2 linked regions of the Oryzias latipes genome follow. Each later gene encodes a partner of the first gene's protein in a complex. Links are inferred from orthologs where the notes say so. Each region holds a gene or a part of one and is shown on either strand. Other genes may lie near its edges.

Evidence for each region. Proteins that work in one complex are often made in the same cells at the same time.
Region 2: stk25 (region 1) and strn4 share a complex: the UniProt entries of both Homo sapiens proteins name them as parts of the core of STRIPAK complex. The link is inferred for Oryzias latipes from reciprocal best matches to the Homo sapiens genes STK25 and STRN4.

The regions. Positions count from the first base shown.
Region 1 is NC_019875.2:5,713,933-5,718,066, reverse strand, and holds the start of stk25 (serine/threonine-protein kinase 25), read right to left. Parts: upstream 2,819-4,134; 5' UTR 1,958-2,818; coding exon 1,928-1,957; intron 353-1,927; coding exon 122-352; intron 9-121; coding exon 1-8. UniProt on the Homo sapiens protein: Oxidant stress-activated serine/threonine kinase that may play a role in the response to environmental stress.
Region 2 is NC_019871.2:14,853,737-14,857,839, reverse strand, and holds the start of strn4 (striatin-4), read right to left. Parts: upstream 2,817-4,103; 5' UTR 2,634-2,816; coding exon 2,289-2,633; intron 1-2,288. UniProt on the Homo sapiens protein: Calmodulin-binding scaffolding protein which is the center of the striatin-interacting phosphatase and kinase (STRIPAK) complexes.

The DNA of each region.
Region 1 (4,134 bases):
TTGGTCCCCTGGGGGGTGGGGTGGGGTGGGGGGGGGGGGGGGATATACACAGTAGTTCAACTGTGGGAAATAAAAGCCTTGCTTGCAGGTAAACAGCAGGCAGTTGCAGCTTTTCTCTCACCTTGAGGTAGGACCCGTAGTATTTGGTAACATAAGGACTGTCACACTGGCTCAGCACTGTGATCTCTTGTTGGATGTCCTCTATCTCATCCTCTGCCTCCTCCAGGTCAATGATCTTGATGGCCACCACCTCCTTAGTGCGGTTGTTGATGCCCTTGTAGACCTCTCCAAAGGAGCCCTTCCCGATGCGCTCCTGCTTGGTGAAGTACTCCTCCGGGTCCAGGTGGGTGTTCTGGTGGAGGGTGGACAGAAGCAGCACCGCTGGCTGTTAGCACTTCCTTTCAAACAAGCATGCAGACACAGAAACGCTGCCTGCAACACAACACTGCTCCCTCCGTCACGGTTCATTTCGTTTCTTTTCCAACACCAGCTTTCAGGCGTGTGATCCTCAGCACTGCCAACTGCTGCGACAGCACCGAGAATTGGACAAGAACACGGAAAAGAACCCAAAGTATTTATAAAAACACGCAGGTCACACGTTACACCAGGGGTGAGCAAACAGAAGGCCGGACCAGGAGCAGATCAGTGCGGGGATAAGGTAATCCACCCCATGAGACAAGAGAAATAATATGGAATTTGGACAAAAACATGCTATAATTAGGATTCAAAAATAATGTATATATTTTAAACCATGATATCTTGGGGGTTTTTATTTGAAAACTGCGACTTTTTATTTTATTTTATGCTAATTCCACGAGTGGGTTGATGCCCCCCAGGGACAAACTCAGAGAAATGCTGCGTTCATGTAGTGTTGGGATGGTCGGAAAAATGCCCGTCCGACTTAGAAAAAAACACGCATCGACGTCAGAAAAACCGCAAACCTTCCAACAACTCGTGAATGCACAAACTTTTTAAAGCAAGGTCGACGTCTCTGTAGAGCAGCGTTTATGGGGAGACGGCGTGTAGCAGGGAGCCTCATCCAATAACTAAAGGAGCTGCATTTCCAGAAGAAAACGCAGGCTTGAGTCTATATTACTGAATGAAAAGGAAAATTAAAGGGTAATAATTGGCAAAAGAAATAAAGAAATAATCAAAGTTGACCATAAATAAAGTAAAAACAGCACAATAACAAAAGATATATTTTTCAAAAAAATGCCAGAGCCGGTATCGAACCAGCGAGCTTCTGCACCAAGGATTCCCCATGAATTTCAATGGAAGATCCTGGAAATCCTGGAATATCTTGAAAGGTTCAAGGATTTTAAGGACCAAAGTGATAGGTGGATAAAGCTGAACATTTGAATAGTTGAATGGTTAAAATAGCTGAAAATGTGTTGGGGTTAAGCACCAAAAGCTGGTGGAAGATACTAGAATAAAGAAAGTGAAACAGGAAAACAATGGGTTCAACCAACTAGGATGATCTATATGATCTATTCCAGTAAAAACGTTTAATGGGCTGCATGCTGCTTCATCATCAACGAGGTGAGATGAGATCAGTAACCTGCATCTGCGTGACGACACTTCCGGTTTCCAGGAAGAGGCTTTACTGCAAAGCTAAAGGCAACAGGTGCTGTCCAGGTAAAAAGAGTCCATGCGGACGTGAAGGAGAACTGTACAGTCTGTGCACAGGTGGACGGAACAGCCCGTTTACACAACACACCTGCATTCAAACCGGGATGTCATCCCGCATAAAAAACTGATTTATAAAAAACATGGACTTGAGAACTTTACACTTGTATCACCTGTTAGAACACGATTACAGGTGATTTATGATCGCAGAGCCAGAGCTACATGGTTTTCCTGAAAAGCCCAACTGTGAGGGGTTCGGGTCTAGGACAGGAAGGGAAGTGAGGTGATAGGTTCTCCCTACCTGGTTCTGCATGTCCCGAAGGTGTGCCATGGTTCTGCCGGTCGCGGGGGCAGAGCGCCAGCTCCGGCTCTTCTGCCCTGCCAACACTCAGACGGCCTTCGAGCTTTTACCCCTCAGCTCGCAGCTGTCTGGGAAACTAGCTAGGAGGCTAAGCAGCTACACGAACAGCCAGCCTGCTGCCTCGAACGGGGCTGTCACTCCGAAAACCGTTTTTGGCCTTCGAGTTCACCGGAGGACCACCCCGCCCGGCGAAACGACGAGCTACAGACCGAGACGCTCCATGAATGTCCGCCGAGACACGCCGGGCGAAAAGAACCCGCTCCGTCGGAATAAATATTTAATTTATTTTTAGGAGGGCTTAGCCTGTTGTTCATTTGAAGCTTGAGGAGGACACAATAACGGCCCACAGCGATTGCACATGCGCAGTGATCAGGAAGTAGCCAGGATGATGGGACATGTAGTTTATTTTGCGTCCCTGTCACACAGCAATTTACACAAGAGATTTGTTTTGTTGAGTGATTATTAATAAAAATTCATGTTTGTTCCTGTTAAACTGTTAAGTTTCAATGCTAGATTATTTAAAAAATAAAGGTCTTTTTAAAGTGCAGCTCGCGGTTATTAAAACAGCACCGATTAAAAAGCATCTAAATTGTAATAAAAAAGTGGGATGTTGCAGAAACTGTGACGCAAACGTGTTGCTGGAGCAGTTATGCGGACAAGGAGAGTTAGACAAAATTGAGAGACGGTCATGAACTCAGGATTTCCCTCAGCAGTTCCTCTGGCATACATTTACGCAGAACAATGCAAATCATAAATAAAAAAAATCAACACTGACTAATAAAAAGCGACATGCATTAAAGGAAGTTAAGACTGCGGAAAAAAAGACCCGCCATGCAAATCAAACGATGAGAGGAGTTTCTGGGTGAGCGCGCGCGTGCAGCTCTTACATAAATGTCGGGTAACTTGTGTACGGTCGTTTTGCTTAACCGACCGGCCTGCTTGCGGAGCCTCTCGTGCAATGATTGTTAAGCTCCGCCCCTGTTGTCAAACTCGAACATCGTTTGGCAGCAACACCGACTCTCGCGGCGTTTGCGGCTTTTTCGGTTGTTTGCTGTAGCTGGAGCGGAGCGTTTGGAGCAGCGCCGGAGGCAGCGGTGCTAAAACCCGGGACGGTAAGCTTTCAACGCGTGTCAGGCTGAGGCCAGGCCGGTTTATACCCAGCTAACTCACGGTGATTACGTAACACCGCCCCACCGGCGCCTCACAGACAGACCGTTCTTTTTTTAATTATTATTAATTAGCGGGGTGTTAGCTTAAACCTCAAAATGGCGCCTTTTCTCCGTTTGTTTTAGTGACATTGGAGGCGCGTGCCGGTGACAGCAGCCTCGGCTGTCTTACGTAATAACCTGTAACCTGGTTCCGCCGGTGTCCGCTAACAAACGCACCTTCAGCTGCAGTTAGCCCGCGCCGCGTTTCGGTCCGAGCACGCACGCTTCGGGTTTTTTGCTGCTCCTGCATCAGGTTAGACCCGCTTGGGTGATCTTTATTCAACAGCGGATATAATAATCAGGATTTGTTTGGCATGAGCGGGACCCATGTAAACGAAAATCAAACGAACCCGCTCGGTGTGTCTTGGCCAGAGCGGCTCTGTAGGTTTAAATGGGTTTAGATCAGCCTCAAAGAGACGTAACGGAATGTTATCAGCAGGTCAGAATTTAGGAAAACCTCCGGAGCTCTTTAGATCTAGACAAGTACAAGTTTGCACAAAATACATCCGGACATTATTGGCTGAAGTAGAACTATCCAAACATATGTAACAGTTAAAATGTATGGAATAAACCACACATTTTTTTTCAACATAAATTCCTTTTATTTAGAGGAAAGAAAACAAATTGAATTGCCAGAAAACATCACACATCTAGATGTTTTAATCTGCCTTTTATGCTGTCAAACGAATTTTTTAAATCAAACATTTGGTGATAAATTATGAGCAATGTTTCCTATCTTATGGTCAAAATATTTTTAAAGAAAGGGTTCACTGTTGATGAAAATGTATAATTAGCTTCTTCAAAAACAGTAAATATTTCTTGTTTTCTGAAGAGTGAAATCAGCTTTGCTGCTTCTTTCTCCCACTACTTTTAGCTCTAAGCATCTCGTCATCCCAGCATCAGTTCCTAAGCTGCCTGTGGCTGGAGACACACAAGTGA
Region 2 (4,103 bases), on another chromosome or scaffold:
CCCTGTCCCGCATTTGACCCAACGTGTTCCACCTGTTCGAAGGAGGAGGAGGAGGATTAATTCCTAACCCGTCGATGGAGACACGCCACCACAGGTGGGATCTCAAGAGTCACACACTCACAGAGAGTGGGCCGCTTCATCTCAAAGACACAAACGCTTCCCTGAGTTCCACTGCTGTAATCCTCCATTAATCCTTTCCATCACTCTGCTGCATCTTTTAGTGGGTTCCTCCATTACCATCGTGTCCCCTTAAGTGTACAAACATTCAAATGCACCTGAGCTGACCACACAATGTCCCCAAGCATGCACAGTATGTTGCTAACCGTGCAGCATTTAACCAGCAGGGATGGTCGCTGGCGTGCTCAGCATACTGGCAACAACAGCCAACGGCCTGTGGCCTCAGGGTGTTCAAATATAAGCCAGCCTTGCACTTCAGCGAACCCCTCATCCTATCAGCACATGATGCTGTTGTGCACGTGGAGCCGAACCTTGTGCAGCAAAGACCCACTTTGGAAACAATCAGTAGTGCCATGTTGGACCCGACGCTTGCCTGCCTGCCTTGGACTTTCCGTTCCCGCTCTTTGCCGAGCCCACAAAAGCAGCAAGCACGGTCCAGGCAGTTTGTTATTGTTCATTCATTTTTTATCAGGCTACTATTTATAACTTCATGTTTTGAGTCGAGAGCAAAGTGGAAAAGGAAAAAAAAAAAAAAGCCCAATAGAGAGAAGAAAAAAAGCCAATGATATGTCTTCTGTGGTTTTCCTCCCTAGCTTGAGAACTCCATCAGATACCGTTTAGATTCCTGTAATTAAAAACTGAGGGAAGGAAAGCAACATAGGGGATGAAAAAATGAAAAGATGAACACTTCCAAATGAAGGGAACATATCTATGCATGCATTTTATTTCCTTACGTAATTGTGAAATAATTTATTAAGTAAAGCGCTGCCGGGTAATCACTCTGGAGAGCTGTACACTCCAACCTCGCTCTTTTGCTGTTGGCATTTAAGCAAGTATGGACATCAGGGAACTCCGGCCCTGCTATAGGGCATTTTTATGCCACTGAGTCATATATTGTATTCTAAACACTCAGATCGATGGCCTTTATAAATGCACCATAAAGAAGAATGTATGTTGGTGCATTAAAAATAAAACAAAGACAGACAAGCAGAGACTATGATTTAGGACTGGATGATAATATATGTTAAAAGTGTGGGGCAGATGGACCTGAAAACTGCTCCATCGTATATATTTCACTGTTCCAGACAACAAAAACGTATGCAATCGTATGTAATAACAAACATAACTCTGGCCAAGATTTGAATCCTTGCTAAACTATTTTTAACGCACCATAACAAGCCAAGCTGACTTTAAGTTAATTATTTAAGGGTTTGATCTCTAATAAGACAACAAATTCCATTTTGACAAAAAGAAACCATGCTTTCTGATACAAAACAACATAAAGCTACATTTTTGTATAAAGTAGAGGTCGTAATAAAGGCATTGATAAAATCCTCTCCAACCCTAAAGCTAAATTACCACAATTCCAGACAATATGATAGATTTACACTGAAAAAGATCATTTCAATTGGTCAAATATGTGAACTATTTTTGTTTAAAAAAAAATTGTTATTTTTAAGCAAAAAAAGCATTCTACACTGCAAAAATAAACCCTCTAATAATAAGCCAAAAACAATGTTAAAACTGTTCTTTAAATAAGTGATAAAATAATAAAAAGTCTGCCAATGGCAAAGAAAAGTGAATTCTAAGAAAAAAATGTTGTTCAGCCAGACATGTTTTATTAAAATAAGATTATAATACTATTGAAACACTTTCTTGAGATTATTATAACAAGGCTCTTTTTATTTTAAGTTTTTGTAGGGTCATTGCTTTAATTTAAAAAATCTAAATCTTAGTCATGATGAAATTCAACCTTTCTTGATATTAAATGGTTGTTTTTATAGATAAAAATAAAAAAAAATATTAGATTTGTTTAAGTAATTACACCTAATTGAACGTATGAAAGGGGTTTTCCTGTGACTTCCTTATGGAGAGCAAACACTGGACCACATCTCTCTGCAGCCAAACTGTAAACATCTTCAAAGACTCTGGGATGTTATGTTAGCACACATTAGCATGCTGCTGTCATGAAACAACATGACAGCAAGGCAAAGGGGCTTTTATTTCACATTCATGGGTAAAATGAGTCCAATAAGGCTCGCAGTTTGGGTTACTCACCTCAACTCGGCAATATTGCAACTAACAAAAAGTTAACGAGAAGACATATTTACCCTCAGCTCGTCCCTCTCAGCCTCCCAGCGGTATTTCTCGGCCTGGAAACGTCCCCACTCGTACTGGATGAAATGCAGGATCCCGGGGAGCGTCAATCCCGAGTCCCCGTCCTGCGTCTCCTGAGGCGGCTGCGACGACCCGGGGACGGCCCCCGCTGTTGCCGCCGTGGCTGCAGCTGCCATGGCCCCACTCACGGCAGCTGATGTCGCCGGGCATTGTGATGCTTTGGGCCCATTAGGGTTGCGCCCCGCTCCAATGCTGCCACTGCCGCTACTATTGCCGCCGCCGCCGCCACCGCCTCCGGAGTTCGGGTTTGGTCCTCCGCCTGATCTGTCCGCCTCCATTTTACCCGTTCAACCTTCAGCCAGGATAAGGGGCTGGAGAGGGGGAATAATGCAGCAGCGAAAAATAACTAAAATAGAAACCAGTGTCCCCTTTTTATCCAACTATTCTTTACTACAAGCTACCTTCAATTCTTCCTTTCTAAGACGACAAAGTAAAATCACAATTCTCTCGGTAAAATACTACACTTCCGCTTTGGAGTTTTCAGATTAAAAGACAAAATTTCCACAAATTTTCCACAATGTAACCTTAAGAAAACATTTAACTGTGAAACTTACGGTGGTATATAAAAATGATTTCAAACCAATGGAAATACAAAATATGTCTTGTTACTTATGACTGTTGTCACTGTTCTGTTTTAAGCTATTATTTTTGCTTTTTTTGGGAACTGTTTCCTGCTCGACATGTTTGCCATTGAAAATCCGTGAGCGACTGACAAAAAAGAGACGTTTTCTGTGGTCCACAATGAGCGAGTTACCCAGGCGGTTGATTTCCTGCCATTTTGTGAGCCGGACTATTTTAAGACATTAATTTTCCACCAAGACAATCAATATATTTATTTCCGACTTTAACTTTATTTTAAATCCACTTGTCAGTAGCCACTTCATAAAACGTAACTAAGTATTTACTCTTCTTGAAATTATAGCATAAAACAAACAAACAAATAAATTCTAGTATGTACTGAGTCAATAAGATTTTACAATTGTGAAACATTAAAATGTTTTTTTTTTCACGTAACCTAATTAAATCACCCATCTGGTAGTATTCCGAGCAGATGTTTGACTCTAGTAAACGATAGAAATAATAAAACGGGATCATTGGAAAATATCACTTTATTTTGAAAGCCTTGTACCGGAAATGACGCTGCTTCTGTAAGAAGCAGACAGTATGCTAGCGTGATGCTAAGGGTTTGTAGGGGTAATTTAAGGTTGAATGTTTATTAAAAGTCTTACAAATGGCACGATGTTATTTTCATCAGATTGTGTACGTTAGTTTTTAATATTATACGATTTTAGATGACAGTTGTACAAAAAGAAATATATAATACATGTCAGCATTTGTTTCTGCAGCTACCGACCCGGTCCGGTTTGTTGTTATAACAAGCTGTGTGAATGGGACCACAAATGCCGCTGCAGTACGCTTTCTAAAGCCGATGTCATTGGCAGAGCTCTTGAAAACCTTCCGATAAGTGGCGCAGGTTGTGATCACACCATGTTCTGCATGTAGTGATGCAGATGCATCAAAATAAGGTTAGATTCTGGATTTTTGCAGCTGCATTAAGGATGTGTTCACTACATGAATGTTGTTTTTTTAATTATACCTCATGTGCAGGCTGTAGGACACATGTGTTTATTGTTTGTTACACGATAAGTGAAATATACTTATGTATTTCTTTTCTTTTGTTATATTTTCCCCTCATCCAGGAGTCCACATGGGGACTATAATAAACCAGCAAACTCAAGTTGAATTCT